Lepisosteus oculatus: one gene and its partner. The protein of the gene in region 2 purifies or fractionates together with the protein of the main gene of each other region. This does not show direct contact. Links are inferred from orthologs where the notes say so. Each region holds a gene or a part of one and is shown on either strand. Other genes may lie near its edges.

Region 1 (7,848 bases), about 18 Mb from region 2:
TTTATAAACAAGGGTCTCAAGCAGTTGCACTGAAATGCATCGGTTTGTGAGCATTAAAAAGCAAGCAGATCTATGGTGCTGGTGTTTGGCATTCATTTTCTGGGGGGAAATGATCGCAACCGTGCATTGCAATTTACGTATATGAAAATACTGTTCTGTAGGTACCGTTTTAAAATGGCACGCTTTCATCAGTTAAGTATATAGCGACTGCCAGTGTAGCTTGCACCACTCATTTTTAACGAATCGTATTATTTGGAAGCCCCGCCGCCCAGCGATGTGATTCTCTCCCCTACCTCTTCCAGCACGTTGACGGTATTCCGGCAGCTCTGCAGGCGGGTGGTAAAGCTGGACGTGGTCGGGGAATTATAATCCTCCGTAGTCTCCGAGAGAAACTCGGACACCGAAATCTGATCCGGCATCCTTCAGCAAGGAAACGCGAAAAGGGGATATGGGGGGAAAAAACGGAAAACCTAAATCATTAAAGAGCAAACTTGCCAAGGAGAGGAAATGTGTGTCTTTTTACTACAATATCAGAAACAAAAAAGCTGCAAAAATAAGAACAGATGCCTTGTTTGAAATTATGCAATTAGCCGATTTCAGTCCCCTTGGTTACAGGGGATTCCAAGTAATTTCCCCCTTCTCCCCTCCAGTCTTTTCCGTAACCTCTGCTTCTATTGCAACACTGTCCACAACAGTTTTAATTATTTTCTTTGCTTCCACCAACACAAGCTGTAAATCGGAGCATAACAGATGTCCTCATTACGTTTTCCGCAAATGTAGGTGTTTGCGCCTGCAATTCCACTTATTGGGTAGATCCAGCAGCTGTAACGGTCTGTTTTGAGATTTTCTTTTCCCCCTTTTCTCTTCCCACTATTTTTTTTTCTTCCTGACGATCTCTGCTCTCTGACACTCACTCACTCACACACACATACATACACGCACTCTTTCTCTCTCTCTCTTCCTTTCACCCACCCACCGCGAACCTCAGGGACAAACAAGGAAGAACTCTGCGCATGCCTAAATATCACAAACAATACAGCCGCCCTGAAAAGCTAGACATCTGTAGCCGTCCAGGCCAGAACCGGTCCTTAGAATTGCACGCATTTTCAAAATGCTTTGAATCCCGTCTTCGTCGTTGAAATCTCCATTGCATACTACGATGCAAATTTAGTGATGGCCCTGCGTTGTTTACAGTACAAAAAAATAAATTGAAAAAGGACAATAAGGGTGGAGCATGCCCCCTTCAAAAAGCACAGGCTACCGCTACGACGTTATATTTCTAACCGTACTAGCCCAGAAGGTGCTTTATCTCCGACTACTAAAACCCACCCGCCTTCGCTTTCGTTCGGGCTCATCGTTGAGAAACACGCCAGGGTCTAACCCTCTGCTGTGCAGAAAAACCGCAGTGCCCCATATATCCCTACAAGTAATACTGATTTATTGCTATTTTTGGAGGCCCGCATGGGGGATTATACATTTACAGTATTATACTATGGTAATGCATTGCATTCCGTGAGCATTAAGTGTTGCATTAAAATAAAACAATTTAATATGGGAATTATCACGTTGTGTCGTAACATACTGTTTCTCTTACAAAGTGTAATTTCCTTTCAACTTCACATTTAAGCATTTTTTTTCCAAACAGACAAGGGTGGTGACAAACAAATTCTACGGATAAAGCAGCGCAGGCGAACAGTTAAACACGAGTTACTAAGTATCCCTGTGTGTCTACTTCTGTCGACGTAACACTTTTCATTCTGTGATATCGTGCCCCGACCCTCTGTCAAACTCGGTGGGCGCAATGATGCACTAGCGCAGCCTACAGGCGATCTGTAGCAGAGAATGTGCAACAACTGTAATTGAGCAGCTGAAGTGTTAAAGCCACGGTTCCAACGATCTGTTGAAAATATACCATTGCTGAAAAATATTGAGTCAAATTTACAAATACTCTGTTACGGTCTGTTACAGCGTGCACTCTGATTTAATTAACTTGAGCTCACGGCCTGTGCACCTTTAGCATTTTAAATGTGTTATGCCGGGCTTTCGAGTATAAGTTGTTTCAATTCGCAAAAGGCGAAAGAAAAATAAGCACAAAAAAAGACATTAACCAGAATGTAAGCAAAATGTGTGCAATAAATTATGTTAATCCTCTCTTACCGGTTCCATAGAGAATCTTTTGATGAAAAACTCGATAATCGGGATGATGAGGACCGCATGACTTTACAGTCACCTTAACAAAATTACCTGAATAAAATAAACGAAAGTCACTTGAGATACCATTAAATATATGCTTTTTGTTCTCATATACGCACAACGAACACTGAAAACTGCCCAACAGTTTTAATAATCGTCTGGAAATAGTTAAATCCTAAAAAAAGTTCTATTAATTAAAAAATATATTTAGAATATAATTTGTTAAGCATATGTACTATCATGATCAGAATAACTGTTAGCCAAATACGTCTTAATGCCCATCACACAAAGGGAGGGACAGTAGCAGAGATAACGGTAATAATGTTCACATGGCGATATGATAATGAACAAGGCAAGAAAAAAACAGGGCGTTAAAAAAGGCTCTAGTACCTCAGCAAAAAAGTTTTCGGTGGGCACGTTCCCATCTAAACGAGATGACCACAATGCATCTAGATGTATGGAAAATAAATATTTGAACAATGTAACAACAGCCACGCCTAATTTAATCACTAACTTACCAAGACTGCTGCAATTCCAATCACAACCCTTACTTTGTACGGCAAATCGAAAGCCAGTAGTTCCTGCAAAGAAGACAAAATATCTCCAAATGCCATCATATTTCGTTCATTTTGTACATGTAACTTAATCCAGCGACAGGAAAGATTGTATCCATTTACTGCAGAAAGGGTTCGAATAAAGAGCAGCGATTTGTCTTCATGTGGGTCCCGAGAATAGATCAGCAGCCACGCAGGGGCAGGAAGGAAAATCTACCATGTGAGCATGGTTACATGGCCAGTTACAATGGACAGGATCTGGGAGCTAACAGCACAGGAACTCAGGAAATCCAAAACTCTTCAACAGGAAATCTGAGATCCCTGTAAACACACTCTATGGAGTGATGCAGTATTTCCTCGGCGTTTATTGGCATTTAGCTCCGGTTTAAATGTTAAGATGTCGGAGTATTGGAACATTATCCGGGAATTTTAAATAAATCAGGCTACTCACTGTGTGCGTTTTGTACGCATATTTTGTAGTCATTTCGGAAAACGACTGTAAAAAACGTCAAAATGTAATAATTATCGTGAGGAGTATTAATATTACTCGAGTGTCATACAGTATAAGCTCATAAAATGTTTTGTGAAGATGCACGTAAAAGACCCATCAGTAAAAAAAAAGGCAACATAGTATTTCAAAAACTAAATTAAATATGTGTTTTATAATCTTGTAAAAAACGCATTTGTATTATCCCGTTTTCTGTGAAATCTTAATGGCTGGTTTCAGATGCATTTTGTCCGGATTGGATATTTCTGTTTTTTAGCGATTGCTACTTCTGGGTACCCCAATGCCATGGGAAGGTGTTCAAGGTTCTTCCGCTTCACCACCCACATCGGATGCCATTGTCACAGCTTGGCTTCAAAGTGGGTGTGAATAGGGTCTAGCTCGACGGATTTTCCTTGGTGTCACTGAACGTGCCTTCTGCCTCTGCACATGTGGAACATAGCCCGTGACTGCTTGTACCAGTTTAATGGTTTCAGGACTTCCGACCTTTTACCAAGCTAGGTAAATGTACAGTAGGAACACCGCCTGGCCTCTGGTCTGTCTTTCTTTTACCCCAACACTTTAAAACGTGAAAATGAAACATGGACATGAAATGTTATTCTTACAGGTACTGTACGTGCAGTAGAGCATACTGTATCTGTCATGAACAGACTTTCATAGTTCAGGTTTATTTGAAGACGATTGAGCAGGGAGCTACATCAACACGCATAGGCTGCAAAGGAACAGGCAAAGATTAATCCCATGCTGAAAGGTAAAGAAAAGCCGCTCAACGTTTCGACTGTGGAGCCTTCTCCAGGTGTGAGGAAGAGTGGGGAAGTAGCAAATAAATAAGGAATAGGAGAACAAAAGAACGGAGTACGTGAGAAGGGGCAGGGAACAGTGAGGAAATCGGCATAAAGCAGGTGATTTGGGATTTGTATTGCTCTTCACAACACAGAGCTTTATGGGATGCATTCGCCATTCACCAGTACTCTCTGTACTTTCCATTTCCTTTAATGACCTCCTGCACATGTTGGCATGACAGGAATATCCTTAAGGACACGTTATCAGTGCGTGGCCTTTATGTAGCCAGAGATCCTCCTGTTGTTTGTCAGTTGAAGCTTACATAACCTCATAACCTAGCCATTGAGAAGCACAAAGCAAGTCTAATGCATGTTTTGCAAGGTTAAACTTATTCTATGTAACAGATTTGATAAGGCTGTGAATGAAATCGCTTTTGTTGAACATATAATTAAATCAGAAGCACCTTAAGAGCTGGAAATTGTTGCTAATAGTTCCAATTAATACAATAATTAGTTCAATTGTTTCCTTATAAGCTGACCTTATAACCTCCAGATACAGCAGCTTTTTTTTGGTCTGGACATGGATACCCCAAGTCTACTTGTTTGTAGGACCTAACGCAAAGCTTTTAAATCAGAGAGGTTTTGTAATGCTAAAAATAGAGGAAATAATTAGAATATTTTTACTGTTCATCCATACAATATCAATAAGCCACATACAAGCACATAGACAATTTAGATGTTTTGTCTAAATTAACCTGGCCATTATTTCTTCGTAAGGTCAGAAGAAACCCCACCAAAAACCTACATGATCAAAAGGAGAACATCCTAACTCCACACAGAAGGTGACCCGGTCAAGAATCGAACCCAGGATGTGAGAGCTTTGAGGCAGAAGTGTTAATCATCACTGTGATTAAATTGTTATAAAATCTATCTTCAAAATTTTTTTTAGAAATACATTCACCCTGTCACCCCAAAATAATTTCCATTTCAATATTACTGAAAGAAACAATTTTATAATTATAAAAAATAAACAATAATGTTTTCAGGTGTGTAATTCCACAAGCCTGTATACAGTACTCTATGATACATCTCTAGATGTTTCATTAATCAACAACTACAGAAATAAAGCAAATTCAGAAGCATGATATATTATGTTTTTTCCTTTTATTGTTAAGGATAATACTTATTAGTATTTTGCACGAGTATTTGCTGTTTTGCTCAACGGAAACTATCATGATATCCTGCACAATTTATTATATCCTGCCCAGACTGGCTGAAATACAGCCAATAATATCATTACACTGTAAGTGTATTTACTTATTCTGACTGATTGAAAATCTTATAGCCGTGAAAGTAAAGGAGACAAGCAAGAAATAATGCACCTATACTCATTGTATAATTTTTGTAACATAAATGTTTTGAAAGGACAACTTTTCCTGATTGTGAAAGTCTGTATGTTTGAAATCCTTTTTCTGTACAGCAGCATAGTTGAATTAGTCACCATTATGTTGTAGATTGGCTAATTAATCCCCCAGATATTAGACAAATTTCAAGTATGCCCACACCCTTCAATCAGGTAGTGAAACTCCTATCTACAGACATAGCACTAATGCCTGTCACATCCGTAAATGTGTACAAGCTGGCCATCTTCAGCTTATCCCAGGTTCCTGAATATCTTACTCAGCATTTCTGTACCACACCATACATTGATAAAGGGTTTCAGACAGACAAAAGACAGATTCAGCAATTCTGTGGAATTTTGTTACACTTCCTAGTCACAACTGTTAGATCTTCGAATGAAATATCTTTTTTAAACATGTTGTACAGCAGATTGTTTCACTTAAACATTTACTGTGATCAAGTTTCTACTTTGAAGACAGATATTGGAAGATAATAGCGATATTTTTTCTTCCGAACTTTTGAAACTGCACAGACAGACAGATTAGCAAGTTCATACTAGTCAGATTTACCAGAATAGACAAACCATTGAATGTGTGACCAGAACTGTGTCAACCAGGATGGTAGGCTGGCCTGCACGCTCAGAAACCCTTTTGAACGTCGCCTTTTGAACTACTGAATCTATCAAATTGGACTTTACAGGTTTCATCAACATCCAAAGCTTTTTATCATTTGTAACTAAGATGTTGTTACAGTACTTTTTTATGCCTGCAAGAAATCACACACTATTTTGAAAAACATGACCCATCATGCAAACTACTCTTGCTCAAAATCTGTTTGGGCAATTAACTCTAAATTGTACATCTCTAGCTTCAACAGGATGAATGTATAAACCATAATGCCAGTCTGACTATCTTTTTCTTTGTACTCATGCTAATGCTGTTTAAAAACCTCTTGGGCAATTAAATCTGAGAGTGGTAAGTGCCATTCTAGTGAGAATACCATTAACAGTTGACTGTTACTGTCATCCTTGGATATACTGTACCACATACCATACACAAGTACCATTTTGTTCTTGAAACTCTGTGTCTGTTTTGTGAACTGCTACACTGATTGGATTAAAACCTGGTAGATTTCATGAGCATCAAAAGCCGCGTCTGTCATGCATAGCTGTGATATGTTCTCAAAATTCAAATTGTCATAATTTAAGGAGCCATTACACACTGATTGACTTGAAACAGCAGGTTTCATCACACCTAGATATTGCTTCCTAATTGTGCCTCATTGATTGTAATGGTACTTTATATACACCGCACATGTAATCAAGCGATTTGCAAAATACACCCCAAAACATTATTTATTCTTTGCCAAATCTGTTTGGTTTGGTCATTTAACTCCAACTTTTAAATATACAGAAGCAACAATGCAATTATAGTATAATGAAACAGGATTTCTGTACTACCCAGGTGACAGCCTGACTGCCATTTTTGTTTTCTTGTTAATACACATCCTATACTACAAACTGCTCCTTTGAAAAAACTGTTAAACTACTTAACTGCAAACTTAGCAGTTAGTATCAAAAGTATCATTCCAGTGGCAATCTGATGGACATTTGTCAAAGTGGGGCTCCTGAATCACTATTATTATCAAGCTTCGAACTACTGCTGTTGAAAAAGCACTCTTAAAGTATGCTTCAGGTTTATCACCCTAAAACCGGGTTCAGACTTGCTTCTCACATGTTGTAGGTAAGGGACGCTTTTCACATCCACAGCAGACAGCGGGCATCCAAACCTGACAGTGTTATTTTAATTTCCCTCTGGGTTTTCTCCCAGTTCACTCACACTTTTAAAGTTAGTCAATAAGGATTCGCCTGGAAGCTTTCAAAAATGCTTAACATTTTCTAGATTTATGTATGCAATCACCAATTATTATTTTTATACTGTTCCAGTTAGGCATAGCCTAACTTTACCAGTTCAGGCATCACAACATTCCTGGATGGGTAAAGACCAAGCTTTTAAAATGGCACCAATTCATTGGCACCTACTGTAGTAGACCCACAGCCATCCAGGGTAGCTGGACACTTCAAGAGAGAAATGTTGCAGTTTTCAGTAGCAACATTACAGGGCCCCAAGCAGTCAGGCATGTATCAAGGCCAGGTCAAAACCACACAATCCTGGCAATTGCATGATTTTGCATGGGGATTCCTAGTCATGGAATTGTCCAGATGTACACATTCATAATATATATGCAATATACATACTGTATGTGTTCTACCAAAAAGATGACATTGATATTTTCAGGAATAACCCAGATTTTAATGTACTGCTTAAAAAGACTTAAACATTTTTTGGAACTTATCAGATGTTATTATCAGAGTCAGAGGACATAAATGAGTACAGGACACATGGAACCAAGG
Region 2 (7,892 bases):
GAAAAACAATGGGCCCAGATCAGCAATTTACTCGATAATAGAGTTCTTAGAATGGCAAGGCAACATCACAGCTGAATCCAAGTACCCACTCCATTTTCAATTTGTAAGGCACCCACCAGGGAGAACTACAGGATACCAAATTCAAATACAAACATGTATAAGATGTCCCTTGTCTCCTCTGCAGTAAAACTGCTCTCTAAATGTATGTAAATGTAGTCCCCCGACTACCAATTTATCCATCCCTTTATTGATGCAGTACAGACGGCTTTTGTGATTACATGTACTTTATGTGACTTTCACGTTAAACGCGTGTGTTTTGCACTTTTTTTTGCACAAAGACAAATTTACACAGTCGTGGACAATAAAGTATCTAGTAATAGGTTTATTCCATGCTGAAAAGAGAAGAAAACACAACGTTTCGGCCGTAGAGCCTTCTCTTTTCAGCGTGGAATAAACCTATTACTTGTTCCTTTGCAGCCTACGCATGCTGATGCAGCTACCCACCTGAATAAAGTATCTATCAGACCACAGTCACCCAACCACTGCCAAACAAAAGCTGTAAAAGATTGAAGGTGGCGTAATCTGTCATCTGCAGTGAATAAGATGACCTTGCTCAGAAACTGCACTAAAAATACAGCATTTTCACCTTCAAGCCAGATTCATGTCCCACGCATCCTATCTCAACACTGAATGGCCTACTTTTGCCGGATTTAGATCAGACGTGCCCAGGTGTATTCTTTTCTCCTGTTGAATTTTACTCCGACACTCCCCGCCAGAGTCTCCAAACTCGCTGGCCAACCGGCCGCTGCTTTCACGAAACGGCATCCTTGCAAAAAAACTTTAAAGGGAACAGGGCTTTGCGCCGCATAGTGCGAAAGTTGGAGGGGGAGGGACAGAGCAACCTCTTCCTGAAATGAGACAGGTAGGAAGAGTGAACGCCTTTTAAAGGCCAGGAAAGAAAATATCCTTCAAAACAGCTCGACTACCGGTGAACAAAACAAAAGACCAACACCCAACATGAAGGGTTTTATAACCACGTTCTTTAAAAAAAAAAATCCGAAACACGACGACCGGCAAAACGAATTCTTTAGTGAAACGCGGGTTTGTAAAGAAAATCGTCCTCACGGCTGAAATGGGCGGGAGGGAGGAAGGGCATTTGTCGGTGGCTTCTTACCTACCTACACCTCGGGCTTGTAGGGACGTGTCGCCAGCCGACTCAGCACTCGCGTCCGGCTCCCTGGAATGTCTCCCGGCTGCTCGCACCGGGGGCACCGACTGGCCCAGACAGAGCAGCGCAGCGCCCCGGCACCGGAGCCGCGTCCCGCATCAGGCAGATCCCCGGCGGGGCTGCGCGGCAGCTGCCGCCGGGCGCGGGGCTCTTGCTGGCGGGCTTAAAGAGAGCACCGTCCGGGGCTGCTCGGCTTCCGATGGACACAACTCCTCGCGTAGTCGCAGTAAAACGCGGTACTCGGCCGGTTCACGACAGCCCGCTGCGTCCAAGACGGTACCGCAGGAGTCCGGCTGCACACGCACACGCACACACGGGGAGCTCGACGGATTTACTCCCCACCAGGCTGACCTTACTGTACTTCAGCTCTTCGCAATACCAGACTGAGACAAGTCAGAATGCCACAGCAGTTACGGCGGTGTTGCCTTTGTGAGATAAAAATCTAATCTCCACCTCTCTCCTCAGGAGCGACGAGTTTGTGTATCCAGCCTTAAACCCACAACGCGCTGAAACCACAGAAATCTTAGTCGTAGTCACGACGTATGTATCAGTTTATTTCCTAAAGCAGGCGAAAACAGGTGGTTTGCGCTTTTTAAGAAAATCCTTGCTTTTAGAAACCCGACATCTCGACTTAAGTAGAACAACAATGCAGTTTAGGTTGGTGGCTGTGGCTACTACATCAAACGACGGCAAAACCACACACAACCAGAGGACCCAATTCGCTTATCTGCTCCCCATCCGCTGCTCTGCGTGAAAGTACTCCCTCCCCAAACGGGCCAGTGTGGAGGGGGGCGTCTTTGGGGCCCACCGAGTTGTAAACCACGTTTGTGAACCCTTAACAAGATCGGAGCATGCTCGCGTCTCCCGGGGCATTCCTTAAATAACGTGGCGTTGTACCTGAAAGACCATATCCTGCCCCCGCGATTTAATCGGATCTGCAAATGAACACATTCGGCACCGCTCGCTCGGTTCCCGATTTGTTTTTCACCAAAACATACAATAAAACAAGTTTTTTTGCCCTCCTTGGAAATCTCCCCCCCCCCTCCGTTGAAACTGCTCCTACAACATGCAGCGTTTACGCCGCCTTACCAAACACGGTTTCCTTGCGATCTCCATTAGATACGCGGTCCCACAAGTGTCACTTTGATACAGATGCTTAATAAATACGGAAAGGCCATGAGGTCCTAGCTGCTAGGAGGTGAAAGAAACGCACCGCACTTGAATCAAAACCGCAAGGCACGGCTTTCTAATGAGATTAGTCAACTCCGCGCTGTAGCACTTGAAACAGTAAAAACACCGAGACAAAAGGGAGACAAACACCCCACACTAAATACAAACTACACGTGTAGGTGCCCATAATGGTCAGCAAATTGCCGTGGTGACCGTCCTAAGGCGTTTTTTTTCCAGCCGGATCTGCCAGACAGAACAGGTTCTTTTTCATTTCGGCAGAGAAACATGGGGGCTCAAGTATCGTGTCCCGTAGCGAGTTTCAGTAGCCGCTACCGACCCTCAGTCACTTTGGTTCGCCCCGGCAAACAACAACGCATCTTTTACTAACCTGCTACTTTTCTTTCCGCCCCTCGGCGTCCCCGGTTCTCAAAGCCCAGCGGTCCCTGTCAGTAAATAAACTTCTCTCTTTCCGCCCGGTTTCCTAGTCCGCAGTCCGCACAGGTCGCAGGCGCGCCGCGCGTCTTCCCCGGCAGGAGCGCCCTCTCCCTCCGCCCCGTTTCCACTCGCCTGACGCGCACACGCTCCGCTCGCTCCCGCCTCGCCGGCCGCCCAGCTCCGCCGCCGGACGGTATCGCTTCGCCCTGCAGCTTGAGTTACCTTAATGGCTGGTGCACGGGGCAGGCTGTCCTGGGGACTGGCACCATCTTGTGGTTTGTCTGAATTACATTAAACGCTGGACGGCTCGATGTAGTTGGGTTTTTTTTTTTATTTGCTGACCTCTCCTTGGTGAACGTATGTCAAAATATGTGGTGAGCCGATACATATGCCAGTGGCATATTTGCCTTCCCACGGCAAAATAGGTATTTGTTTTTTTTTAAAACGGGAAAATAAGTTATGAAACTGGAAAAGTTTTGTTTTCCCCAGCCTTCTGAAGGTTTTAATGCAACTTACGCAACAAGACTTTTTTTAATGATAAGCTACACCGTTTTCAACGTACAACGCAGTCAGGCACGTCTACAGTTAAATTGGACTGTTAGCACCAACGAAAGCATTTTCAGTACCTTCACGGATCGGGGCTGTCCAGTCCCTGTCTTGAGGGCTTTAGTGTCTGCTGTTCATGTAGGTGTCTTTAAGGGCCCGATGAGCTGGGAAGCGCTGGTAATGAAGAGCTGAGCCGAAATTAAAAACTGCACGTTCTCATGACCCGGACTGGACAGCCCTGACCTGTCAATGGGAGGATACCAGTCCACTGCAGAGCGTGCCCACAAGGCTCAGTTTACCTCCTAGACAACATGTCTTCCTACACTCATTCAAAACCCCTACGGAACTGCAGGTGTCTCTGATTTCTGCTCTTCTTTATGAATGTACTGCATGGGTAGGAGACGATGAGCTTGCTTTGATTACTTTAAAAGGGTATTGTTTAAATAATATTAAAAATAAGGGGCACTCGTTTATCGTACTGTTTGAAACGATGCATTATACGGAAATACCGTACAGTGAGAGAGACTGCCATCTTCCGAGTCCACACGCATTTTCGGGTGACATTTCTTTTGAGATGCAGTGAAAGAGCGCGTCGCCTTCCGCCACATTCTCCAAAATTCTGCTCGGGAATAGTTGAGGCTTCTCGACCTGAACCATCGACGCAAATAGTTGCAGTTCTGTCAAGGGAAAATGTTAATAAATCCAAACAAATTCAAGAGACCTTCTTTCAGAAGTCTTTGGATTCCCTGCCAGCCGTGCTTAGAGGAGACAGATGGCTGGTGCTGCCGAGACTGGATAATAGATCCATATTATTGCCTCGATTATGTGGTCTCTGGCACATTTTTTAGTTTTTTTCAATGGATTATGCAGACAGCAAACTGTCCCAGTGGTCTGTATGACACAGAAAGCAGTATAGAACAGAACCCCTCCAAAAGCTGTAATGACCAATTTAGCTTTTTAAAAAAATACTAGGAGAACCTTACTATATAACTCTTAAACATCTGACTTTGGAGAATACATTTAGTTAATTTTGGAGGTCAATTGTATTATGCCAAGATTTTAAAATGTGTTCCACTAATTGTGCAATTAAAGAGATGTAAATCACAAATTGTCATTAAGATGCCTTTTGTGGACAAGAAAACAAAATTGTTATTGCTTTTAAATTATATTTTTAAAGGAAACTCAATATGCATTCAGGTGTACTTTTTCCCAATGTAATTATTGAAAGCATTTTTAATTGGAGTCAAATGAAAAGAAATCTAGTCTAAGTCAATTGGAGCAGAATGGTATGCAAATGACCTGTTGACACCTCTTATTTTTATTAGTGCCTTTAAAAACCAATAACTGTCCAAATGAACTCTCATGATTTCAGATGAAATCATTTTTTTATCCCACCTTGTAAAGATTGTTTCATTAATTTATAATGAAACAGTAGCAAGTAAATGTGCGACTAAGCTTAAACGTCATTAGTGTGCAGTTGTTGTGATACAAGGCCTTGACAAAGTTAACCCAATGGGTTTATTCAGGATCAAAACATGAACCAGAACATGCAATTGAAAACCAGGGGAAAACACATTCCACACTGAGAACAGGAGGCACTTATTTAGCGAGATTTAGACACCAGCCTTTCAATAACTGTCAGCCAATAGCTACCTTAGTATTATTGGCAAATGTTCTACAGCAGGCTGTCGCAGTTCAGTGAAAATCTCACGCATCTGCACGTGAGCTGTTTGGTAAGCCTGGCTTTAGGTCAATGCGTAGTAAAGAAGCAGCTTATTAGCGATACTCGTGAACTGCTGATGAGCGTTGCTTCTTTTTTTGTGTGTTCGTGTTCCGGACCTTAGTTCCCACGGCCGGCAGAGGAATCCTACTCTGTTGGGCTCATAAGCAAGGCCCTGAACCCCAACTGCTCCAGGGGTGCTGTATATAAATGGCTGACCCTGCCCTCTGACCCCAAGCTTCTCCCCCTGTCTGTGTGTCTCATGGAGAGCAAGTTGGGGTATGCGAAAAGAAATCCCTAATGCAAGAAATAGTATATAGCATGCCACCTGTTCTTGGTCCACTACAGTAAACGGTCTTTATTACACTATGTGTCCCTGTAATCTCGGCTGGTCACGCACCTTTTAAGCACAAAAAGCACATTCGTACAAAAAATATTTCCCTGTCATTTTATAATAATGTATGGAAATTAATAATTTTATACTAGGGATCTGGGTCCTGCCACATTGTACGCTTCTGAAAGGTCAGCAAATACATATTTTCAATTTTGACTTCCCTTTACTGTATAAAGTAATACGTACTTGATTAATCTAGCCAAATATATATAGACCATAGTACATTAGATAGTAATCACAAACTATGTGTGGTTTAACTTAAAAGTGACTTTGGGTAAAGCTAAGCATTGCATTTCTCAAGATCATCAGCACAAGCAAATTTAATTTACTTTTTAAAAAACATGCTGTTGAGTTTAAATGGTGCATGGGTATAGTGGGTACAATCATCCAATAAGTTACCATTGGGTCAGATTCTTCATAGGTATGGAATCATCTGTCATTCTCAGCTGATGACCCCCAGATGTTACAATAAAATGTTATTCAAGCACTGTATGATATTTGTTGCTTAGATACTGTTAAAAACACATGCGACAAAATCTTTCATGTCTGGGCTCTTACAAGACTGGATTTATGATGATTGACTTTCCTTATCAACTCCACAAATGTGTCAGGCTTCGTTAAACTATTGATGGTCTTGGAATCTGTCGAAGTATGGTACGGAGGCCAGGAAACGTAGTGTCATTTTTGACTTGAGCTTTACATTTTAAGTACAATGCTGAATATGTGTATTTGTCTTTGGAATACTGAACATATCACAACTGAAGATGACTCCACAGCCGAAACATTGTGTCTCTTTTCGTCTCTTTTTGGCACGGAATAAAACCTTTACTAGTTCCTTTGAACACATCAATGCACGTCTCTCCCAATTCAATGCTAACAGAGAATGCTAATGCGTGCTTTTGACTTTTCAAGGCTTGATTGTTGGAATGCAGTACTTGCTGGTGTATCAAATCATGTTCTGAGCAAGTTGCAGCACGTTCACAACTCCACTGCTCGGATCCCAATCCAAACGAAAATCCACGGTCATGTGTCATCTGTTTCCACTTCCTCCCACAGGCTCCCTGCGGATTTCAGAATAAAATTCAAAGAACTGCCGTGCAGCGTTAAGGGCAGGTTGGCTCCTGAAAACATCACTGGACTTTTAACTCTCTGTTATATTCCATGTTTGCTTTCTGTGGACTCTGGCCTCCCTTGGGTTCCTAAAGTGAACTTCCACACACTGGTTGATGGACTTTGGAAGGATCTCCTGGCCTGTATGAGGTCTTGCACTTTTAAGTCCCATGTTGAAGCTCACTTTTATACTCTAGTTTGTAATTCTACTTAATTTACTTGGATATTATAGTACAGCGCCAAAAAACATTGTTTAAGAAAAAACTGGATGAAAACCTTGGATCCATTTGCTACTTCAAACCACCAAGCACAGGATGGACTGAATTGTCTCCTTTCACTTTTTTTCTGTCACTTTTTTAAACTCGGTTTTCAATTTTGCTGGAGATTCTATTGATGAGCAGACAGGTTGAAACCAACACTGGTCAGAGGAAAACATGATCAAAAAGTATGGCCCACATAGCTATTTTAGGTGTACTGAATTTGGCGTTTAGATTTCTTTCAGTAAGCTAAAGTGTTTGGATATCATAACAGTGTGTAAAAAGTATTGTTTCCAGTGGTCCTTGTTAAAAGCGTTATGAAATGTACTATTCACACTGTTAAATTGTTCAGATTGTGGCATCATTTTTGAAGGTACAAACCTCACATCATTGACTTACGTCGTACAAGTGAAGCAGCTGGCATACAAAAATCACACCTTGAAACTCCCTCAATGAACTATTCAAAGGCGATCCCGTCATTTCCCGCTCCAAACCACGTTTTCAGATGTTTCGTCATAAAGGGTGTGGCCGACAGCATGTCATGGGCGAAATCCACCGAACGCATCAATTTGAATCTCTGCCTTCGTAATACATTGATCTGATTGTGCTGAGGCTTGATCAGAAATGAATCTATGAATTGGCTTCATTACTCTGCTCTCCTCCCCACTGATAGCTGGTGTGTGCTGTGAGTGTTCTGGCACACTAGGGCTGCTGTCGCATCATCCATGTGGGGCTGCACACTGGTGGTGGTGGAGGGGAGTCCCCATTACCTGTAAAGCGCTTTGAGTGGAGTGTCCAGAAAAGCGCTATATAAGTGTAAGCAATTATTATTAATTATTGATGCTACACAACAGCGTTTTTTTTTCCTTGAAGACGGCACAATCAGACGAGAGAAAGAGCTCCACCTTCTGGATTCTAAAATATTGCATGTTTGCAGTAGCAGCTTTTTGTGTTTTTATTTTTTAAAATTCTACTCTTGTCTTTTTTTATATTATTATAAATATAATCAAAGTACTGAAACTGTTCAGGTTT

The links.
Region 1: the proteins of arhgap12b (region 2) and asap1b purify together in Homo sapiens (co-immunoprecipitation; 3 studies listed by BioGRID and IntAct, with this or other methods). This does not show direct contact. The link is inferred for Lepisosteus oculatus from reciprocal best matches to the Homo sapiens genes ARHGAP12 and ASAP1.

The regions. Positions count from the first base shown.
Region 1 is NC_090701.1:21,623,745-21,631,592, forward strand, and holds the start of asap1b (arf-GAP with SH3 domain, ANK repeat and PH domain-containing protein 1), read right to left. Parts: upstream 3,001-7,848; 5' UTR 2,712-3,000; intron 2,648-2,711; exon of another isoform or gene 2,584-2,647; intron 2,245-2,583; 5' UTR 2,217-2,244; coding exon 2,158-2,216; intron 1,371-2,157; exon of another isoform or gene 1,356-1,370; coding exon of another isoform or gene 1,330-1,355; intron 1,048-1,329; exon of another isoform or gene 764-1,047; intron 421-763; coding exon 294-420; intron 1-293. UniProt on the Homo sapiens protein: Possesses phosphatidylinositol 4,5-bisphosphate-dependent GTPase-activating protein activity for ARF1 (ADP ribosylation factor 1) and ARF5 and a lesser activity towards ARF6.
Region 2 is NC_090701.1:39,396,090-39,403,981, reverse strand, and holds the start of arhgap12b (rho GTPase-activating protein 12b), read right to left. Parts: upstream 3,009-7,892; 5' UTR 2,787-3,008; intron 2,025-2,786; exon of another isoform or gene 1,179-2,024; intron 1-1,178. UniProt on the Homo sapiens protein: GTPase activator for the Rho-type GTPases by converting them to an inactive GDP-bound state.